Diceros bicornis minor: one gene and its partner. The protein of the gene in region 2 purifies or fractionates together with the protein of the main gene of each other region. This does not show direct contact. Links are inferred from orthologs where the notes say so. Each region holds a gene or a part of one and is shown on either strand. Other genes may lie near its edges.

Evidence for each region.
Region 1: the proteins of PPP1CC (region 2) and RPL27 purify together in Homo sapiens (affinity purification with mass spectrometry; 3 studies listed by BioGRID and IntAct, with this or other methods). This does not show direct contact. The link is inferred for Diceros bicornis minor from reciprocal best matches to the Homo sapiens genes PPP1CC and RPL27.

Annotation. Positions count from the first base shown.
Region 1 is NC_080757.1:41,955,692-41,965,378, reverse strand, and holds RPL27 (large ribosomal subunit protein eL27), read right to left. Parts: upstream 4,442-9,687; 5' UTR 4,222-4,441; coding exon 4,141-4,221; intron 2,949-4,140; coding exon 2,779-2,948; intron 1,724-2,778; coding exon 1,613-1,723; intron 1,506-1,612; coding exon 1,457-1,505; 3' UTR 1,418-1,456; downstream 1-1,417.
Region 2 is NC_080774.1:9,196,238-9,206,471, forward strand, and holds the start of PPP1CC (serine/threonine-protein phosphatase PP1-gamma catalytic subunit), read right to left. Parts: upstream 3,783-10,234; 5' UTR 3,633-3,782; coding exon 3,578-3,632; intron 1-3,577. UniProt on the Homo sapiens protein: Protein phosphatase that associates with over 200 regulatory proteins to form highly specific holoenzymes which dephosphorylate hundreds of biological targets.

The DNA of each region.
Region 1 (9,687 bases), on a different chromosome or scaffold from region 2:
CCTATCAATCCCAGCACAAGCCCATTGGTAGATTTGTCTGCTTTGTTAATGAGTATTTTCCCTAGAGCCTAGAATGATGCTGGGCACATGCGAACTTTAATAATTGAATGAGAAATGCAACCAGGACAGATAAAGCCCCTTCAAGTTCACAAAGGCGTAGTAAATAGCCAGAATTTGTTGAGAGCTACGCTATGTGCCCAATATGGGTTCTGCTTTACATGAATTTACTCTACTCCAAAACAACCCCACGAAGCTGTTTCTATCTCCATTTTACAGATGAGCTTCTAAACTTCTGAGACACATAAGTACAGGAACTTGTCCAAGATCACACTGATGGGAAGTGAAGTGTTTATCAAAACCGGGTTGGAACAGTATTTGAACTTGGACCTTGAGGCAGAGTGGAAGGAACCTGCTGAATCTTTAGCCAGAGGAAGGTTTAAGTTCAGTTCCATTTGTGACTGTTGAGTAGGCAAGCTCTAACAGGAGTCCACTGCAGTAGAGATGCCCAATACTTAACGGTGAGAGTCAAATGCAACTGTGTAAAAAACAGTGCATATTTTTCTATTATTTTCACTTAGTCCAGGGTTTTTCCACTACGAGGAACTTACTGAACCCCTTTCTCAACAAGCCCCCATCCCAGGTGCAAGTGTGCCAAGTGCAAGGCTTAATAAATAGGCCTGTTTGAATCCTGGGTCCATCTAGTGACTTAGAACCAGCTCAGCTGGAGTGCCTATCTCATCAGTACAACAGGGTCACAGTTAAGCATCTAAAGGTAAAATCCCAGATAGAGAGGCCAAACGCCTTTGCTGCAACACAGTGGTTACAAACCCAGTGCCCAAGCCCCCTGAATCACACTTTCTTGCCAACCTTTGCTAGCCAGGCCATTTGGGGACTTCTCCCTGGCTGCTCTGGGGCTCAGGCTTTTGTCATTGGCACCCATCCCTATTATCTAGAGCAGTTCTCTAGTGTGGTCATGAGCAGCCTCGCATCACCTAAGTTGCTAGAAATTCTGACCCGCTAAATCTAAGTCACAGGGTGGGATGCTGGCACTCTGTGGTTCAATAAACAGCTTCAGGTTAGTGGTTCTCAATCCAAAGCAGCTGATGCCTACTCAGAGGGGCCTTTGGTTTTCACAATGGGGGCGGGGTGGGGGGAGAGTTCTCTTGGTATGTAATGGGCCGAAGCCAGGGATGCTAAACAATCCTGCACCTAAAGATGTCAAGAGCAGCCCTTCTGGGAAAACAGTTATCACACTTTACCTATCAAGGGGCAGCCTATGGGGCTGAGGACAGAAGTAGCCCAAGTCTCACAAAGGCAGATCAAGCCTTTATATTTCCCCACAGCCCCTCATCCTCTACCCAGTGTCTCATCATATGAATGCTCTGCCCCAGTCAATAATACACGCAGCAGGCAGACAGGGATTTTTTGTATTTTTAATGACTGAAACAAAACAGATCTAGAACCGCAGCTTCTGGAAGAACCATTTGTTCTTGCCGGTCTTGTATCTAGAGGGGGGAAAAAAAGACATCAATGAGGAGAGGAACAAGACAAAATTCACTTCAGAGAGAACAGTGAAACCATACCCCAGCATCCACTACCAAAGCCTACTTACCTCTCCTCGAACTTGACCTTGGCCTCTCGTCGGGCCTTGCGTTTAAGAGCAGGGTCTCTGAAGACATCCTTGTTGACGACAGTTTTGTCCAAGGGAATATCCACAGAGTACCTGGGGACAACGGTGGGGAGGTGGGAGCAGCCCACACGCTGGCAGGGCCTTCACCCCCTCCCCACCAAGTACTCCTGTGACATTGGGGTAAGAGGATCTGACCCCATAGAAGCAACCATCAAAAGCTGTGCCGAAGTCCTGATGATACGCTTTGAAAATCTCCAATTTTAAGCGACTCATTTACATAGTTTCAAACCACTGAAAAACTTCACATTTCATTCTCAATTTTCCATTAACTACTCTATTTTTCTATCTAAAAACCATCACTTTATTTGATCTTCTTGACTATGATCATGACTACTGGCTAGCTTTCCGTTTTATTTAGGGTTGTTCAAGTTCTGCTTATGCCTACGCCTATGTCATTATGACAATGCAAAAGCTGACTGGCTAGCTGCCTCAGCCTCACCGCTTTCCAGCAGCTGAGAAACAGCAAATTAAGGTCAACATGCACCCTGAGAGCAAACTTTCAAAGTGCGTGCTGCTGCGTTTTGGCAATTATTGTCCAGGAGTCTCTCTAATCTTGTATTTCCTTAAAACTCTTGTACCAAGATAGTGCATATGCTACACAATACTGTGGAAGGCCAGGAACTAAAGGGCCCAGTGGTTGACTGGAATTAATTGTCGGAAACTTGCTTTCATTTATTTACCACATTTTAAAAAGCCTATAACAACTATCCTTGAGAGTGGAACAGTGGACGACGGCAAGCCAGATCCTATGCCTATGTTTACTGTGGATGGAAACAAATGAAACAATTTTTAATCAACACTTAGAAAATTTTCAGATGAGGAGAGAGACAGATCAAGAACAAGCTTGGAAGAGATTTTTCAATCCTGCTTGGCCAAGTCAGGGAAGTCACTACAGAAAACGACAGGAACAGTTCCAAGATGGATTAAAGAGGCAACACTGAAAACCACAAACACTTTATAAGTGACCAATGGAAAATGATGTCTCTTTCCCACATTGGAGTGGCTACAAGGTTGTCTCCTTATTCAGTAGGGCAGAGAGGGGGGAAAAGAAATCAAGTCACTTGCATTACCATGCTTGAAAGGCTCACCTTGTGGGCATGAGGTGATTGTAGTTATAAACTTTCACAAAAGACTTGATCTTTGACCTCTTGGCAATTTTCTTCTTGCCCATGGCAGCTGTCACTTTGCGGGGATAGCGGTCAATCCCAGCCACCAGGGCATGGCTGTAGGGGCGGTCTGAGGTGCCATCATCAATGTTCTGAATGACCAAGAATGACATTAGTTATTAACCGAATGACTATTTAAACTGTGCTAGATGTAGGGCATGTATAGAAATAGGCCACCCCCAGGTCTCTGAGACCCACTGTTACAAAAACCACACAAAGCAGACATTCTAAGTGCTATGCTAAATGCCCAAAGAGTAGCAGGGATAGGAGTGGTATTCATTCCCACCAGGAAGACTCTGGAAAGCCTCTTGGGAGATAAGAGATTTAAAAGAAACAACAGGGCCGGCCCCGGGGTTTAGCGGTTAAGTGCCTGCGCTCCGCTGCTGGTGACCCGGGTTCGGATCCCGGGCGTGCACTGACGCACCGCTTCTCCGGCCATGCTGAGGCTGCGTTCCACATACAGCAACTAGGAGGATGTGCAGCTATGACATACAACTATCTACTGGGGCTTTGGGGGAAAAAAAATAAATAAATAAAATTATAAAAGAAACAACAGTTAACATTTATGGAGTGCTTGCTGTGTGCCAAGCACTGGTTCTTAGGCCTGTACATCTCTTAACTTCCTCCACGACTGCACTGCTAGTAAGGTAGAGAGGCCCACACTGGCAGCCTAATTCCAGAAGCCAGCCTCACGTGGAGGAAGGGGAAGCAAGGGTGCCCGGTGACCCCACAAAAGCCAAAAGCAGTGGTGTACGTGGCCAGAGCTTAGGGAGATCTCACACGAGGCTACAGAACGCAGGCAGAAGGCAAACAGTGAAGGGCTAGAATATGGTGAGTGACCATTTTGACTAGAAACAACGTCTCCTCTTTGCAGAGTCGTCCCAGCTGCAGCACTTAGTACCTGTTTGACCTCAGGTGAACTACTAACATCTCTAGACTTCATCAGCAGAAAGGAAGTCCCCACGGTTACTGCCAGGATGGACCCGACAACACCCCTAAGGCAGTGCTGGGCACCAAGCAAGCGTTCAATAAACGCTGGCTACTATCATTATTTGAAGCCTCTTTGCTAGAGGACGACTTATGAGTTAGCTGCCCAATTCAACTCACATTTGTTTTTATTTCGCATCTTCCTCTCTCAAAAGCTCTGATGCGCTCACCCCACCACCACTCGCAATGCTCAGTGGGCAATGCCCCCAAACTAGGCCTGGAATTCCAAGCTTGCCCGCCCCCGAAACCGGCCCGATTCCCGGGAGACGAGGGCGCAAAGGCTCGCGAGGCTGGTACCTTTACGATGACCGCTTTGCGTCCGGAGTAGCGTCCAGCCAGAACCAGCACCACCTTCCCGGGTTTCATGAACTTGCCCATTTCTGCAGAAACGAAGGAGAAGGGGCCGCTCAGAAACCCGCAAGCTGAGGCTGTGGTCCGGAAACTTCAGGCTGCCCTCACCGCCGTCTTGGCCCAGGCTGCTTGCGGACCCTGCTCGCAGAATGGGATCTGTTACGAAGCCGCCAGACACCGAGGAACGGAAAGCACCCAGCGCTGCCCCGCCACTCGACCCCGAGGCCGCGGATGGCGGCGGATTGGAATACCCTGGGCAAGACTCTACTCACCAACAGCAACCACCCGAATCTACCGCAGAAAGGAAAAAACGATATTTCCGCTAACCTTTCACCCCGGGAGAGGGGATCTCACTTCCGGTTCCGCCCCTTAGGTCTCGCCCCGCCTTTTGCGCGGCGCTCAGAGTCTGTGTTGTGGGCGGAAGAAGCTCCTGAGGGGAAAGCAGAGCCTGGCGGCTGATTTATTCAAATCAAACTTAACTAGCAGCTCTACCAGTAGACAAGAGCAAAGAAGTCCTGTCTCCCGCGTTGGGAGGGAAGAGGAAGGAAAGCTTGTGTGTCCTGCTGCTCCACTGCCCCCTTGGTTGTAGTTCCTTTCTTTGGCGCCAGGAGGGGGACACAGTTTGAAATTTACTTTTTTGCCTTGGAAGAGTCAGGGAACAAAATAGGACATTTATTAGTTCCTACCTTGTGCACTGTTAGACGTAAGGAGGGAGAGAAGAAGATCAATCAAACAAGGGTACTTGCCCCTAACATTTAGAGTCTGATGATGTCGTAGACATTACTGACTAGAATAAGCAGTGAGGGAGGTGAAGGACGATGACGGTGATAATGGCAGCTGCTTACCCTGTGCCAGGCCGAGTTAATCTACTTACGTATATCATCTCATTTGATCCTCATAACAACACTACGAGATAGGTACTATTATCTCCATTCTACAGTTGAAGAAACTGTGGCTTAGAGAGGTTAAGTGATTTGCCCAAAGTCCACAGCTAATAAGCGGTGGAGCTGGGACTCTGACTCAGGCAGTCCTCCGGAGCCCATACTGTTTACTCCGTCACCATACTGGGCACCTGCTCTGTGCCAGGCAAGATGCTAGGCACTTCAGGTAAGTCGACAGCCTACTTAATTCTCACAACTCTGCATCGTGGGTATTTTCCTCCCATTTAGCATGAGGAAATTGAGATTCAGAGAGGATAAGTTACCTATCTGGGATTGAGCCTGATCAGTAGCATAGGTGGGATTCAAATCTAAATTTGAACCCAGATTTAGTTGGCTCTTAAACTGAATTATTTCCCATCACTCACTGGAAGAGTGTTTTTAGATGGCTCTTTAGGTGTCTTCCAAGTTCAAGAGAAAGAAAAAGCCCATCTGAACATTGAAGAATCTGTAGGATTGGTCTTGGGCAAGATGTGAGAACAGTCAGGGTTTCATCAATTCTCTTCTTGACGCTCTCCGAGGACCAACTTTCCCTGCAGCCCTCAGGAGCCTATTCCAATGGTTTATCACCCTAATTATGTACTTATATTTATATATTCAATTAAAATATTCTCTGCTTTAATTTGGAATATGACATTTTAGAGTTGGAAGAGACCTCCGAGATCATCTACTCTGGCCTCTCAAAGATGAGAGGACAGTTCTAGAGCAGCAAAGTCACAGGGTTGGTGGTGCAGGGCCAGGCCTCCCCATTCCCAACTCAGTCACTACACCACACTGCTCTGTCCATTTCCACTTCCATAGTCTTCTCCCAGGCTCCATATCTGCTTCTGCCTCTTTTGCTGTTTCTCTCTTGGAAAATAGAAACCAAACCCTGAAATCTTATAATTGCCTTGGACTCTTCTCACAAACTAAAGCTCTCCAAATCAAATTAGTAACTAAATCCTGTGAATTTTACCTTGTCTTTTTTTTTGAAGAAGAAGATTGACCCTGCACTAACATCTGTTGCCAGTCTTCCTCTTTTTCTTTTTTCTCCCCAAAGCCCCAGTACATAGCTGTAGAGTTGTGGCTCTTCTATGTGGGACACCGCCTCAGCATGGCTTGATGAGTGGTGCGTAGGTCTGCACCCAGGACCTGAACTGGCAAACCCTGGGCCGCTGAAGCATAACGCGCAAACTTAACTGCTGCACCACCAGGCCAGCCCAGTCTTATGTCTTTTAAATTTTCTTTTCTATCCTTTTCCACCTGCTCTGATCCAGTCTCAGTTCTTTTTCTTCTCCAGTCCCTCCTCCAACTTTTGTGTGGGTCAGAATTTCTTGGGTTGCTTATTAAGGATGCATCTCCAGTCCAAGAGATTCCAATTCAGGTCTGGAGTGCAGCCCAAATAAAGATCTATAGATCTTATTTTGAGAAACTTCTCTAAACACAACTCTTAAGTCCACCACTTATCTGCTTGAAGTCCTTCATTGGCTTTCTGTACCAAGGTTTGAACTCTCACTCCTTTCCTTTCTACCTTTCCTTCAGTTCCTGTGACGCCTCCATACCCTTCACATACCCTCTGGGTTCCAGCTAGCTCAACTGCGCAGAGATCCAACTTCTTCTGAGCCCTGGGGTCTTTACCCAGGCTGTTTCATGTGACTTTATTCTTCTCTTCCACCGCAGCTAGGCAAAATCCTATCCAAATCCCATCCATCCTTCAAGGCCGCTCCAGAATTCTCCCAGGCAGAATTAATTTCTTCCTTCTGTGTTCCCTCAGCAATCCAAGCCGTACTTACCTTTATTATAAAACATCTTAGTTGGTTTGGATCAATGGTTCTGAAAGTGGTCCCCAAACCAGCAGTATCAGCAAAACCTGGGTACTTGTTAGAAATGCAAGTTCTCAGGCCCCACCCCAGAGCTAATGAATAAAAAACTCTAGGGATTTGACCCAGCAATTTGAGTTTTAGCAAGCTACCCAAACCTCCAATTGGTTTGCTATCTCTTGAGCTAGATTGTGTTCCTTGAGGGCAGGGAGTATGTTTTACTCCTCTCTTTCCTCAGCATCCAGCCTGGCCCAGACAGTTGGTAGGCCCTCAATAATGAATGAATGAATGCAGAGCACCTTAGAAATCTTTAACAATGCTTTGCAGATAATACTTTTACAACAGACCCTGAACTTTCATTGGATGCGTATCCATGACTTTTTCATTCTATTCTTGCATATCCTTAGACCTGGGCTGACTGTTCCTCCTCTCCTCCCTCGTCCTGTCTGCCTCACCCCAAGCCAAGGACAGAGCTCTGTCCTCAGTTATGATGCAGATGCTATCAGTGACTAGCAGGTATCTGACTGTTGGGATGCTGGCAGGATTGTCTCTGTCTCTACAAATCTTTAAGTTTCATGAAGAACTTGGCAGAGCAATGGCTATCTGCCCATCTCCCTGCAGCCTAGTCCTTTGGCAGCTGAAATTTCTGGCAGGTATGTGGAAAATACCTTCTCTTCCCCAAAGTGATGGCAGAGTGACAGGGTGGATAAAGGAGAGAGAGGAACAAAAGATTTAGAAGCAGCATGATACAGTGAGGTAACATGATAGAGTATAAAGCTCATAGGATTGGTATTCTGGCAACCCGAGTTCAAACCCCAGCTCTTCCATCATGTAAACCTGGACAAAATGTTTCACTTCTCTGCAGCTCAGTTTCCTGAGCCAGAAAATGGGGCTAATATTGTCCTGCCTTACAAGTAGTAAGAATTACATTAGGATGACACAAACAAAAATGCTTCCCATGACGCTAGCACAAAGCTTTCGTGCAAATTAGTTTCTGTGAGGATTAGAAAAAAATAATACTGGGGTGATCCAGGGCTCTGCCATATGACTATAGCAGTTACTACCCACCCTAAATGATATCCAGACAATGGATCTAAAAGTGCCAATTCCAAAAGTGGCATGTGTGGTGACATCTGCTGTGGGGATGGGACTGTAGGACTGAGCGAGATGGGATGATAATGCCAAGGGTGCTTTTTTTGTGTGTGTGTGTGAGGAAGATCAGCCCTGAGCTAACATCCATGCTAATCCTCCTCTTTTTGCTGAGGAAGACCAGCTCTGAGCTAACATCTATTGCCAATCTTCCTCCTCCCCCCGCCCCCCCCAAAGCCCCAGTAGATAGTTGTATGTCATAGTTGCACATCCTTCTAGTTGCTGTATGTGGGATGCGGCCTGAGCATGGCTGGAGAAGCGGTGCGTCGGTGTGCGCCTGGGATCCGAACCTGGGCCGCCAGTAGCGGAGCGTGCACACTTAACCCCTAAGCCACGGGGCCGGCCCGAGGGGCGCTTTTTTAGCGAATTTTTTCAGGGAGAAAAAACCACCACCAAAGCTGAGTTGATCCAGGGCAGGGGGCAGAGAAAAGGCAGAAAGGCCAGGGGCCAGACATTGCTCGAGGAAATACTGATCTGGATCAAATGGGCTGATAATACCCAGAGAGATATATAAACCAAAGCCAAGGGTCTCTAAGGTCTTTGCAGAGAAGCTACACAAAATATTATGATTTTATTGGCAACCACAGATAGATCATTTTTACACCTTACACTTATCCTGTTTCACACAGGACTAATTATAATGAACTATCAATAATACACCTTAAATAACATGTTGTGAAAAAAATTAAGTTAAAATGCACTACATAACAGTGCAGACACAAAGTACAGCTGGCTATTTAATACATGAAACAATGCTGAATCAGTAGTGTTGGGAGCCCATTTGGTCTTCCAGAAAGTGATACACTTTGCCCATCTTTGGTCAGTCCTGGAGCAGTATGCAAGCTGAATTACAAATATGAACTAAAAAGGCTAAAATACTGAAGATCAAATAGGACCACTCTAGAGTGAGTTTTACAATGAAATGCCCAGCCCCTTGTCTGCCAACAGTGATCTGCTGTAGTCCCTCTCCCTGCTGTAGTACCTATCGCATGATCAGACCTCCGCCATCATCCAGCCTGCCGGACAAGTAGAATCACAACCCCAGGAGGAGTCACAGCTGGTCACCGATGTCCAAACTTGACTCAGGTGGCAAGGGTTCTCTCAAGGAGCATACTTTTAACACATTCACTCCTGAGTAGATTGTCAGCGTCTTGTTGGCAGTTGTACAGAGGGAAGGTTACTTGCCAGAGGACATGGTACTAGACAATGGTTGTCATTCCTCATAAATAACCAGCTCCAAAACCAAAAGACCATCATCTGTGCCCTAAGAAGAGGACCACCTTGTCAGGAAGAGATTTCAGTTCTTACCTCTACATGAAAAAGGGCTCATATTAAAATCAACTTGTGGTTAACACTCTTAGAAGTGCTGTTCGCAGATAGTCCCATTCCCAGTTTTAGAGGCAGCTATGGAACATACACAGCCTCCCCTGACCTTGGCTCCCAATTTAAGTAACAGAAGCCTCAAGTCGAATGTCTTCCAGGACCAATAACTCATGTTGTCACTCACAGCCATAAAGAGAATGGTTAGAGAAACTTGGGTTTCCTAAAAATCAGATGTGGCATGATGAGTTGGTGCATTAACGGTGTGTCATGACTGATTCCTTTTA
Region 2 (10,234 bases):
CTTCAAGTTCTGCAACCCTAACAAGACAAGCGGACTGACCAGCACTGGCACATGATTTTGCAGAACAGGTTGCAGGTCATTACAGGGCCGCAGTCTCAAAGACAGAAAACAGTTTCACCACTCTACCGTGGACAGACTACTAATGCATGGCCCGGCACTGCCTCCATTTCCCAACGCGGAGGAGGAAAGCTTGGCCTCGGCGCCTTTGGCGAACGTTCTCTCAAGCACAACAGAAGGACACAAACCATCCTGTTCTAAGGATTTCACTGCTGCCCCCTGCTCCTGACGGGCCAGGGGGACTGCCGGCACAAGGAGACCAAGCCTTTCCCTGCTGTGGTTTAGGACTGGTGCAAGCTGCAGATCTGTCTCCAAAAGAGCTTTTCTGTCTCACATCACAGGAAAGGATGCGGCACACAGTTGACGCGGGAGGGGAGGGAAGAGCAGGGGGCTCACACCACAGACTTCTTGTTAAATTAAGGAATTAGTAACACACAACTTTAATATCAGTCTTTATGAACAAAATGCCCTATGGTAACTGATCCCAAGAAAAGCCTCTAATTGTTAAAATTATCAGGCGTATAAAGAAAAAACAATTGCAGAGGTCTCACTAGGAAAGATTACTTTTGTTTTCCTTGGTCAGCATTTTAAGAACTTTTTTCTTTGCCATTATGTTTGTCCCTTATTATCTTCAGGACCAGAGACTGCTGTCATTTTAACATTAGAAAATAAACTTGTTTCACGTTACACCAAAAAGCTTCAGCTTTTAAAAAGCACATGGGTTACCCGAACAATTTTAGACTTTCAGAACATTTCAACACTCACTATCTTCAGATGAACTCTTACAGATCAGAGGATTAAATCAGTAAACACGTTCGAGGGCCGGCAAGTCAAGGATTATGCAGAGCCTGGCATGGTCTTGCAGTCTGACAATGGTCACCTTCAGAGCAAAGAGGCATCTTGCAAATCAGGACGTGAAGTAAGTTACAACCGCCTGCTTTGCAAGAAAAGTGCCGGCCATCGGTGCTCTCCGAACAAGGTCACTTACAAAGTAAAACTGCCCCAAATCTCACTCTTCTCCAACAGTGTAGGAATATCAGACCAAATCAACAGCTGGCTTACTTTCTCTCTAAATCGCCCAAGTTTTACTGTGTAGTTACTGAAATAACTGAACATTAATTATATGAAGGAGTAACAACCTTAGGGTTTTCTCCTCAGCAAGGCAGAGCTTGGTTAAAAGCTCCCAAGGTGGGTTGCGGAGGGGTTGCCTCGCCTTTAGTTGAGGAAAAACTAAAAGTTTAGAGCAGAAAAGAATCGCAAAGCTGTAGTGACTAAAATCTAAACCTTTCTTAAATAAGCCTTTGAGTTGCTTTTTAGTACTCTTACTGAGCTGCTTCTCAACTAGCTTGTACGGTCGGTCCTCCACTTGAAGACGAGGCAATTTTGAACACGTAAAAAAGTCTAACAAGGTCACAAAACTCACATTCTCTCCATTTTCAGATATACTTAAATCTTAATAAAAATTTTTAGGGAAAAAGGTTTTTGGGGCATTACAAAAATCATGAATTTATGATCAACATCTTCTAACTTGGATATATACACATCCTCAATGGATCATCTTCAACCATTTCTCTGCCAATTTAACACTGATGAGAAAAAAAGGAGTTTAAGTATATTGTGTACCTAGCCTTTCCCAAGGCATGAAAATGCACAGCTTTATTATATTAATTTCAATGAAAAATGAAATATAAAAAAACCTGCTTTTCAAGTGCAACATAACACGTATAGAGAGAAACTATTAAGAAACAATGACAGATCTCATTTTTTATATGATCCAAGTTTATCAAGGGAAATTCCTTAGCACAATTGAAAAAAATAAGATCAAAATTAACCAAATTTGTTACACGAATACAGTTATGGGCAACTCAAAACTTAACAAGACTTTAATCTTAAAACTGTAATGTTTCTAATCCATGCAGAATCCAATTTTTCCTGTTTCTCAGTGAAATAAAGCCTACCCTAATCTAGCAATACATATCCCTGCACAGAGACACAGAAGCTAATTAAAAAGTTTAAAATAAAAATATTTAATAAAAAGTTCTTTTCTTATTGCAAATAGTTTTAATCAGTTTCAGACCCACTTCTGCCTCATCTAAATCAAAGAATTGTATTAACTAGTGTGAAAAGTGTGGTTCTTATAATAAATGCCAGCTCCTGAACGAATGACAAGGTTTTCACCCACAAATGGCAGCAACATTTCAAGAGCATTTCAGGGGTACATTCAGTGGGTTCTTCTTTTCTTTCAAGAAAATATAAAAGGAAAAAAACCTGTACAGATAAAGAAAAGATATTTTCAGGAGTTTCATTTTAATAACTTATTTCAAAAGATCTGCAAATTCTAAGGACACAGCTGTCCAACTGTGAACGCTCTCGACTCCGTCTCACAGCATTTCTGTTCCGACAATATTTAGGACAGTAGAAAGGCAAAAGGCAGTGAATATTCAGTCAAATCTACATTATTCAGTGCCCAAACCAAGAAAGGGATCTGAATTCTTCCCGAGTTCCGAATAAGACGTTCGCATCAGCAGAGCGGCTCGGGAACCGGGGGCAGTTAGGTTCAGCGCCCCTCTCCATAATCCGAACTTCATCCGTCCCCCGCATCACTACGAGGCACCGCACGAGTCTTAAATCAGCCAGAACGAAAGCTCTAACTTGACCTCTGCCTAACCACTGGAGATCTCCTTCCTTCACACACAGGGTGAGATGAAGGAGTTCTAGCTGCTGGCTGCCTGGATCTGAACCCTGACTGTCACTAACTGTGTGACCTTGGACAAGTGACTTCACCTGCGTCTTAGTTTCCTCTGAAAAACAGGAAAAAATAACCTCGCAAGGTTGCAGACAGAACTAAGTGAAATCTGTGTAAAGTGCTCAAAAAATGCCTGACATACGGCGCTTTAGAAGCGCTATTATTATCTTCTTAACGATGCGATGAACGCAAAGCGCTAACACAGAGCCTGGCACGTTGCAAAGACGAGAACGAAACTGTCATCTTCGCCGGTTTCACGTTCAGAAAAGAGCGCGGAGATCTCAAGACAGGGGCAACTCGGAAAGAGTATCTGGAAGGGCAGGGGCAGGTGGGTTCCAACATCCCCTTGAGACAGGAGCGTTCGTCACCAAGTACCAAAGTGGGCCCCCCGACCCCAGCCCCACAAAAAATAAAACCGAGCGAGATGGGGACGAAGCTCCCCCCCCCCCCCCGACCGCTCTCGCAGAGGACGAGGACCACAAAGTGCGGGACGCTCCGTCCGGGGGCTGGACCGGCCCGGGCCGCGGGGCGCAGGGGGTACGGCCCGGAAGCGAGCGAGTGGGCAGCGGAGTTGCCCAATTCCCGGCCAGCAGGGAGGCTGCACCCGGGCAATGAATGAGCGGGGTCCGAGGGTCCCCGGCCGGCCGAGCGCGACCCGCCGCCTCCCTCCGGCCGCAGCCCAACTCGCCGTGCTCAGCCTCCTCGGCGCCGCAAGCCCCACCGGCCCCCAACTCCCCTCCCCGCGAGCCCCGGGCCGCCCGCCGCCGCCGTCACCTTCCAGCAGCCGTTGGATGATGCTGTCGATGTTGAGCTTATCTATATCCGCCATCGCCTTCCCGCCGCAGACCCTCCCGCAGCGGCGCCGCCGCCGGCTCGCGCCCGGGACTCACACCTCCCTTCCCACGCCACGAGCACAGAGGCGGTGGTGGCGGCGGTGGCAGCAGCCGCGGCGGGTCCCCCCCCAACCGCCCCGCTCCCTGCTTCCTCCTTCTCTCCCCACTGGAACCACGAGAAGAACAAGATGGCCGCCGACTCCTGAGCCAGCCTCGGGCGGCGCACGGATGCGCGCGGGGGAGTGCAGCGGCCCGGCCGGGACTTCTTTATGGGCCATAGGGCGCGCGGGAGGGGGCGGGGCCAGGGCGCGGGGAGGGGGAGGAGACGGTTGAGCGTAACCGCGACCGCGCGCGGGATCCTTCCGCCAAACGGGCCGAGCAAATAGGCCCCCTGGCGGGAGCGTGAGTAGCAAAGTTGCACGCGGGAGTTGGGGACCGGGGAGAAAACGCCGCTGTGCGTTCCGAGGGTGGCGGCCTTCGCCGGACGCTGCTCGTTGGGGCCAGATGTTTGCAGACCTGGCCGTCTGGAAGCGCACTGAGGGAATTCGGGGGTCCTGGAGTTCACCCTTTAAGATACATCTGGGGTGAAGATGGAGTGGGAGAATAGAGGGCAGTGGGTTGATTTATTTTGAATTCAGATTTGCCGGGACTTGCGGGAAGGGAAAAGTTTATTTGGTTACTACTAAAAAAAAAAAGACCTGTCCCAGATAAATCAAAATGTGAACATTTATTCTGAGTGGTGGGAATATGGGTATCTGTATGTATTCTTTTGTGCGCTTCTGCAACTTTTACATTTGGAGAAACATTTTTTTAAATTCACCCTCAAAAAATAATTTCATCATCCTTATCTTGGGGTTATCTCTCTTGAACTCGGGAGGTTATATAATCGTCGGAACAGTTACCCTGATTCTAGCCAGAACAAAGGTGAACGAGCGTGTGCAGCAGAGAAAGGCAGAATTTGCAGATTGCGCGCGCCGCAGCTCGAGGCCGCGAGAGCGGAGCGAGTTTGCAGGAGCAGACAGCGCGGGCGGGTCCTGGCTTCTGCAGACACGCGGGGAAACCCTGGCCCTCCAAGTGCATCCCTCTCCGGGAGGTCCCCCAGTGTGCCACCTCCGGGGCTGCGCGTCGCCTTCAGCTGGGTTTGGAAGTGCAGCCTGCACTCAGCAAACACATCTGCTCTCTTCCTGACCTTTTCATTTATGTGGTTTTTTTCCTGCAGCGCTTTACAGTTTGCAAAGCCCTTTCCCTTCCCAGAGAAATTAGTTTTGTTTCTCAAGGTGCACAGGATGCACGAATTCCTATCCCTGAATGCCATCGAGGTGATTGCGCCACCGGGGCAGCCATCCTCGGGGGCGGCCTGGGCCGGGTGCGGGCTCCTTGCTGCGGGTGCGGGGCGTTGAGGTCCGGGGCTCCCCTTGCGCGGCGGAGCGGCTCACTCCACTGTCCCCGGTCGCCACCTCGCTCTCCCGTGCTGCAGCTCTGTCCACCAGAAGAAACACAAGTGTCGCTTGTCAGCCCTGGGCACGGAGCCCAGTTGATCCGGAGCCGATGCCCAGGGCTGTTGTGAACGGCTGGCTGTCAAGGTCGGGGTGGCTCTGCCGGAGTCAGGGAGACTTTGGGCTCCTCCCGAGCAGGCCGCATCATGGCAAAGTCAGTTAGAGCAGCAATATGAAAGACAGAGATTCATTCAGCAGACAAATATTTATGGAGCCCCTACTCTGTGCCAGGCATTGTTCTAGGCGGAGAAGCAAGGGTGAGCAAGATAGACAAGGCCCTTCTCTCATGGAGAGTTCTCTAGTAAGCCAGACAGACAATAAACAAAGACGCAAATAAAAATATCAGCTTCTGATAAGTGCGGTGGAAAAAAAAAACACCGCACTCATTGTCTTAGTGTGTGACAAAAATTATCCCAAGACAATCCTAGGAACTATGTCCTATTCCTATCACACCCATTTTACAGATGAAGAAAGTGAGAGGCAGAGAGGCTGGGTTGTTTGCTGAAGGTCACACAGCTAGTGAGTTACGGAGCCAGGGCTGGAACTCAGGACAGCCAGAAACAAAAGCCTGTGTTCATATGTAATACATCACGGTTGTGAATCCCTAGCACCTAGCACAACCCTGGCACACACTAGACACAGAACAAATGTGGAACCCAGTGGAACGATCTCCGCGTGTCTCTACCCACAGGAAGAGCACTGTAATTTTCCATACAAAATCGCAGGTATGTTACCATCTGTTGACACCATCAGGGCTGGCGGAGGAATTCAGACAGGACTGGGACATGGGGAGGGCCTCTGTTCACACACCATTCTCCCCTGGGCTACTCCACTCCAGAGTCCAGTTTTGCTGGCACGTGCCTAAGTGAATTAGCTGGCTCTGGGCCTGAGAGAGGTGTGAGCCCAGAGGGTAGTCCTGATCAGCTCCCAGGCACCAGCACACAACTCGGAGGAAAGAACTGATCCCCTGTTGGCCTTTTCCTGCCATTATTGACACTAGTGGCCTCCCTAAGGACCAGCAGACAAGCATTTGCCAGAAAGGCTACTGTCTACCCGGTGGAATGTCCTTTCCCCTTTCTAGGCCTCAGTTTGCCTATCTGTAAAAGGAGGAGAATGGATTAAAATGTACTTTTCGAACTGTCTTCCTTGGATCCACAGAGCTTTCTTAGGGAGCCGCTGAAGATGCTGGGGAGCCGATGGGGTTCTGGTCCCCAACCCCTCAAGTCAACCGAACAGAAGCATGGCACACAGAAAGCACTCCATCAATATTAACTATTATTGCTACTATCTGTTTTAGACATTGACCTTCCATGTACAATTTGAAGATGGAGGCTGTGGCTAAAATATTTGTGAAACAATAGTATTTCTAAGGATACTTTAGGCTTTGAGGGGAATCCCAGTGACTAAAGGGACCAGGCGGATAGCATGAAAAAATTAAGCTAGGTGGATAGGTACTGTGGTGAACTGGAGAGCGCAAGTCTCATCTAAGGAGTGGCCACTTCCCATTTTCAGTCCACTGGGGCCGTGTGGGAAACTGGGGCCCAGTGTGGCCAGATCCTCTGAGTTGTCAGGAGAACTTGAACATACGGATTTTTATGTGAAATGTTTCCATTTTAAAAAGTTCGTCATGAACTCAAAATTCTTCTAAAATACTGTGTGAGGCCAACAAAGCATATCTGGGCTCTGTTCTAGAAGGTTGGGGGTGAACTCTTCCTCCTCCCTTTTCCAAATTTAATGAACATTAGGATTATTGTTAAATGATTCAAAGAAATGGTGTTGATAAGGTTTGTCAGCAAATCTGGACCTACCTGGGTATTCTGGAGGTTTTGTACAAAGTAGGGAACCATGGGAAAAAATGTGGATGAAAGCCCTTTGACAAAGTCCACAGCTTTATTTCAACGTCCTGTGGTATTACCAGCAGACGCTGGTACTCTCTTGGCAAATGTTCATTGAGGCCTTACTCTGTATGAGAAGCTGGGGACACAGCAGTGAGCAAACCAGCATAGTCCCTGCCCTCATGGAACTCTTGGTCTAGTGGAGGAGACAGATAGGAACAGAGAAACCAATTAAAGAAGATAATGTCAGAGAGTGGTGAGTTTTATGAGAGAATCAGAAGGGGTCATGTGAACACAGACAAGAGGGACTCTGAGGATTTGACATTTGAGTCAAGATCTGAAGGATGAGAAAAGGCAAAGTCCTGGGAAGAACTACGTAGCAGAAGAGTATTCCCAAAAGAGGGAACAGCAAGTGCAAAGGCCCTGAGGTAGGAATAATCTTCCAGAGTTGGAGGAATGGAGAGAAGGCCAGAGTGGCTGGAGTGCTGTGTGAGAGGGAGGGTGTTAGGAGGGGAAGTTGAAGAAGTGGGCAAAGGCCAGACCACTTGGTGGCCACGGGAAGACATTCAGAGTATATTCTAAGCCTAATGGGAAATTACTATAGGGTTTAGGCAGAGGAGTAACATGATCTAATTAGTTTTTTAAATAAGCTTTTTATTTTGAAATAATTTTAGATTTATGGAGAAGTTGCACAGAGAGTACAAAGAGTTCCCATATACCTTTCCCTCAGTTTCCCCTTGATGGTAACATCTTACACCACTGTGGCATTGCTCTTAATTTTTCAAGACTCTTAAATCATAAAGAAGTTTTGGATCGTAGAATATCACATAACATCATTACCCACAGAGCGTCTTCTCCTAAATAAGATCTGATTTCCTCTTTGAAAGAGCCCTTTGCTGTCTGTGAGGAGAAGGGACTATAGGTGAGCAGGAGTGGAAGCTGTGAGGTTGGGAGGGGCTGATGGCAAATGTGGCATCACGGCTCTGAGCCTCAGTTTCCTCACCTACAGACTGGGGACAATATCACCCATCTCAGGCTATCGTGAGCATGTAGCTGGGGAGATAGTAATAAAGAGGACAATGACTATGATGATGATAATAATAATAGCTAGCATTTATTGAGTGCTTACTGGATGCCAGTCTCTGTGCTCATGCCTTTCATGCATGATCAGGGAGAGCAGATTCTCTGGAATGTTCCCAGAAGCCTTCTCCGAGGAAGAGGATTTAGACGGGTCTTTCAAAATCTCTTGAACCATCCTTGGTCCCCATGGAGTCTGTTGATGTTGGGTGTGTCTGTCTTTGAGAAGGCCCCAAATATACTTCCATCTGGACTTACCCAACAGGGAAATTACGGTGATTATCGCCTTGCTAAATGTTCCTTAGCTTCATGAAATGACTCACCCCGTGGTTGGGAAAGCAGCAAGCTGTCCTGGTATCTGGAGGGTGGATGGCACTGTCGTCTGGAGCTAAGTCTGGCACAGGGAGGCTAAGTTTAGAGCGGGGTCTCTCATCCTGGGCTCCACTGACAGTCTGGGCCAGATGGTTCTCTGTTGTGGGGCTGCCTGTGGGCTGTAGGGGGTTAGCAGCATCCCTGACCTCCACCCACTAGGGGTAGCACAGCCCCCCTCCCCAGTTGTGACATTTAAAGATGTCTCCAGGCACCACCACATGTCCCCTGGGAGGTCAAAATTACTCTCCCCACCCCAGTTAAGAACCACTGCTTTGGAGCACTTGGGGCGTGCGGCAAGGTGGCTCTGAAATTGTTTCGTTCTGTCACCCTTAACCCTATGTGTTAAGTGCTTTGCCAGGGTAGCTTCTTTGAGTACTAATACTAACAGCCGTCATTTATTCGGTATTTACTGTGTGCTAGGCATTGACCTCACTCTTGCTTTATTTCTATCTGCCAGCTTTGTTCCTACTTTATACATAGAGTAAGTCATTATTCCCATTTTACAGTTGGAGAAACCAAGGTTCGCAGAGGTTAGATGACTTGCCCAAAGACACACAGTTAAGAAGTGACAGAGCCTGGATTTGAACCCAGATTCGTCTGACACCAGAGGCCATGCTCTCTAACTACCTGGCTATGCTGAGCCTCTGAAGCCAGGGGTGTTAGAAAATCATGTGGGAGGAAATATTTCATAAACTGTAAAGTGCCGTTCTAGTATCAAGTAGGAGAAGCAGCATGGAGAGAACGTGTTCGGGACTCACAGATTGGAAAAGCCAAGTTCTAGCCCAGAGTCCGCACATGACTCATTGCGTGGCCTTGAGCAAGTCACTAACTTGGCTTAGTAGGTGAAACTGCTCGATGAGCCCAGCCCCACCCTCTCCCACAATGGGGAGATGGCACTTTGAGCAATAATGGTATCGGGGAGGCACAGTGCGGGGAGATCTGCACACCTGTTCTTGTTTAACTTTCTCCTCTCACTCTGAGAGGCACAAGCCCTCCCCCTCTTTTTGAATTGAGATGAAATTCACGTAACATAACACTAACCATTTTATAGTGTACAATTCAGTGGCATTTAGCACATTCACAATGTTGTGCAAACATCACCTCTATCTAGTTTCAAAACATTTTCATCACCCCCAAAAGAACCTATTAGCAGTTACTCCCCATTCCTCCTTCCTCCCAACTCCTGGCCACCCACCAGTCTGTTTCCTCTCTCTCTGTATTTGCCTATCTTGGATATTTCATGTAAGTAGCATCGTAGAATATGCGACCTTTTGTGTCTGACTTCTTTTTTTGTGTGTGTGAGGAAGATCAGCCCTGAGCTAACCTCCATGCCATTCCTCCTCTTTTTGCTGAGGAAGACCAGCTCTGAGCTAACATCTATTGCCAATCCTCCTCCTTTTTTTCCCCAAAGGACCAGAGATAGCTGTATGTCATAGTTGCACATCCTTCTAGTTGCTGTATGTGGGACGCGGCCTCAGCATGGCTGGAGAAGCGGTGTGTCGGTGCGCCCCTGGGATCCGAACCCGGGGTGCTAGTAGCAGAGCGCGTGCACTTAACGGCTAAGCCACGGGGCGGCCCCCGGCTTCTTTCTTAACATCATATTTCTGAGGTTCATCAACATCACAGCACGTGTCAGTACTTCATTCCTTTCTATGGCTGAATCATATTCCATTGTATAGGTAGACCACATTTTGCTTATCCATTCATCCATTGATGGACCTTTGGCTTGTCACAGCCCTTTTTTCAGATGAGGGACATGAGACCCAGGAAAGTTAAATGACTTCCCCAACATCACGGAGTCAACAGACAAGCTGGCAA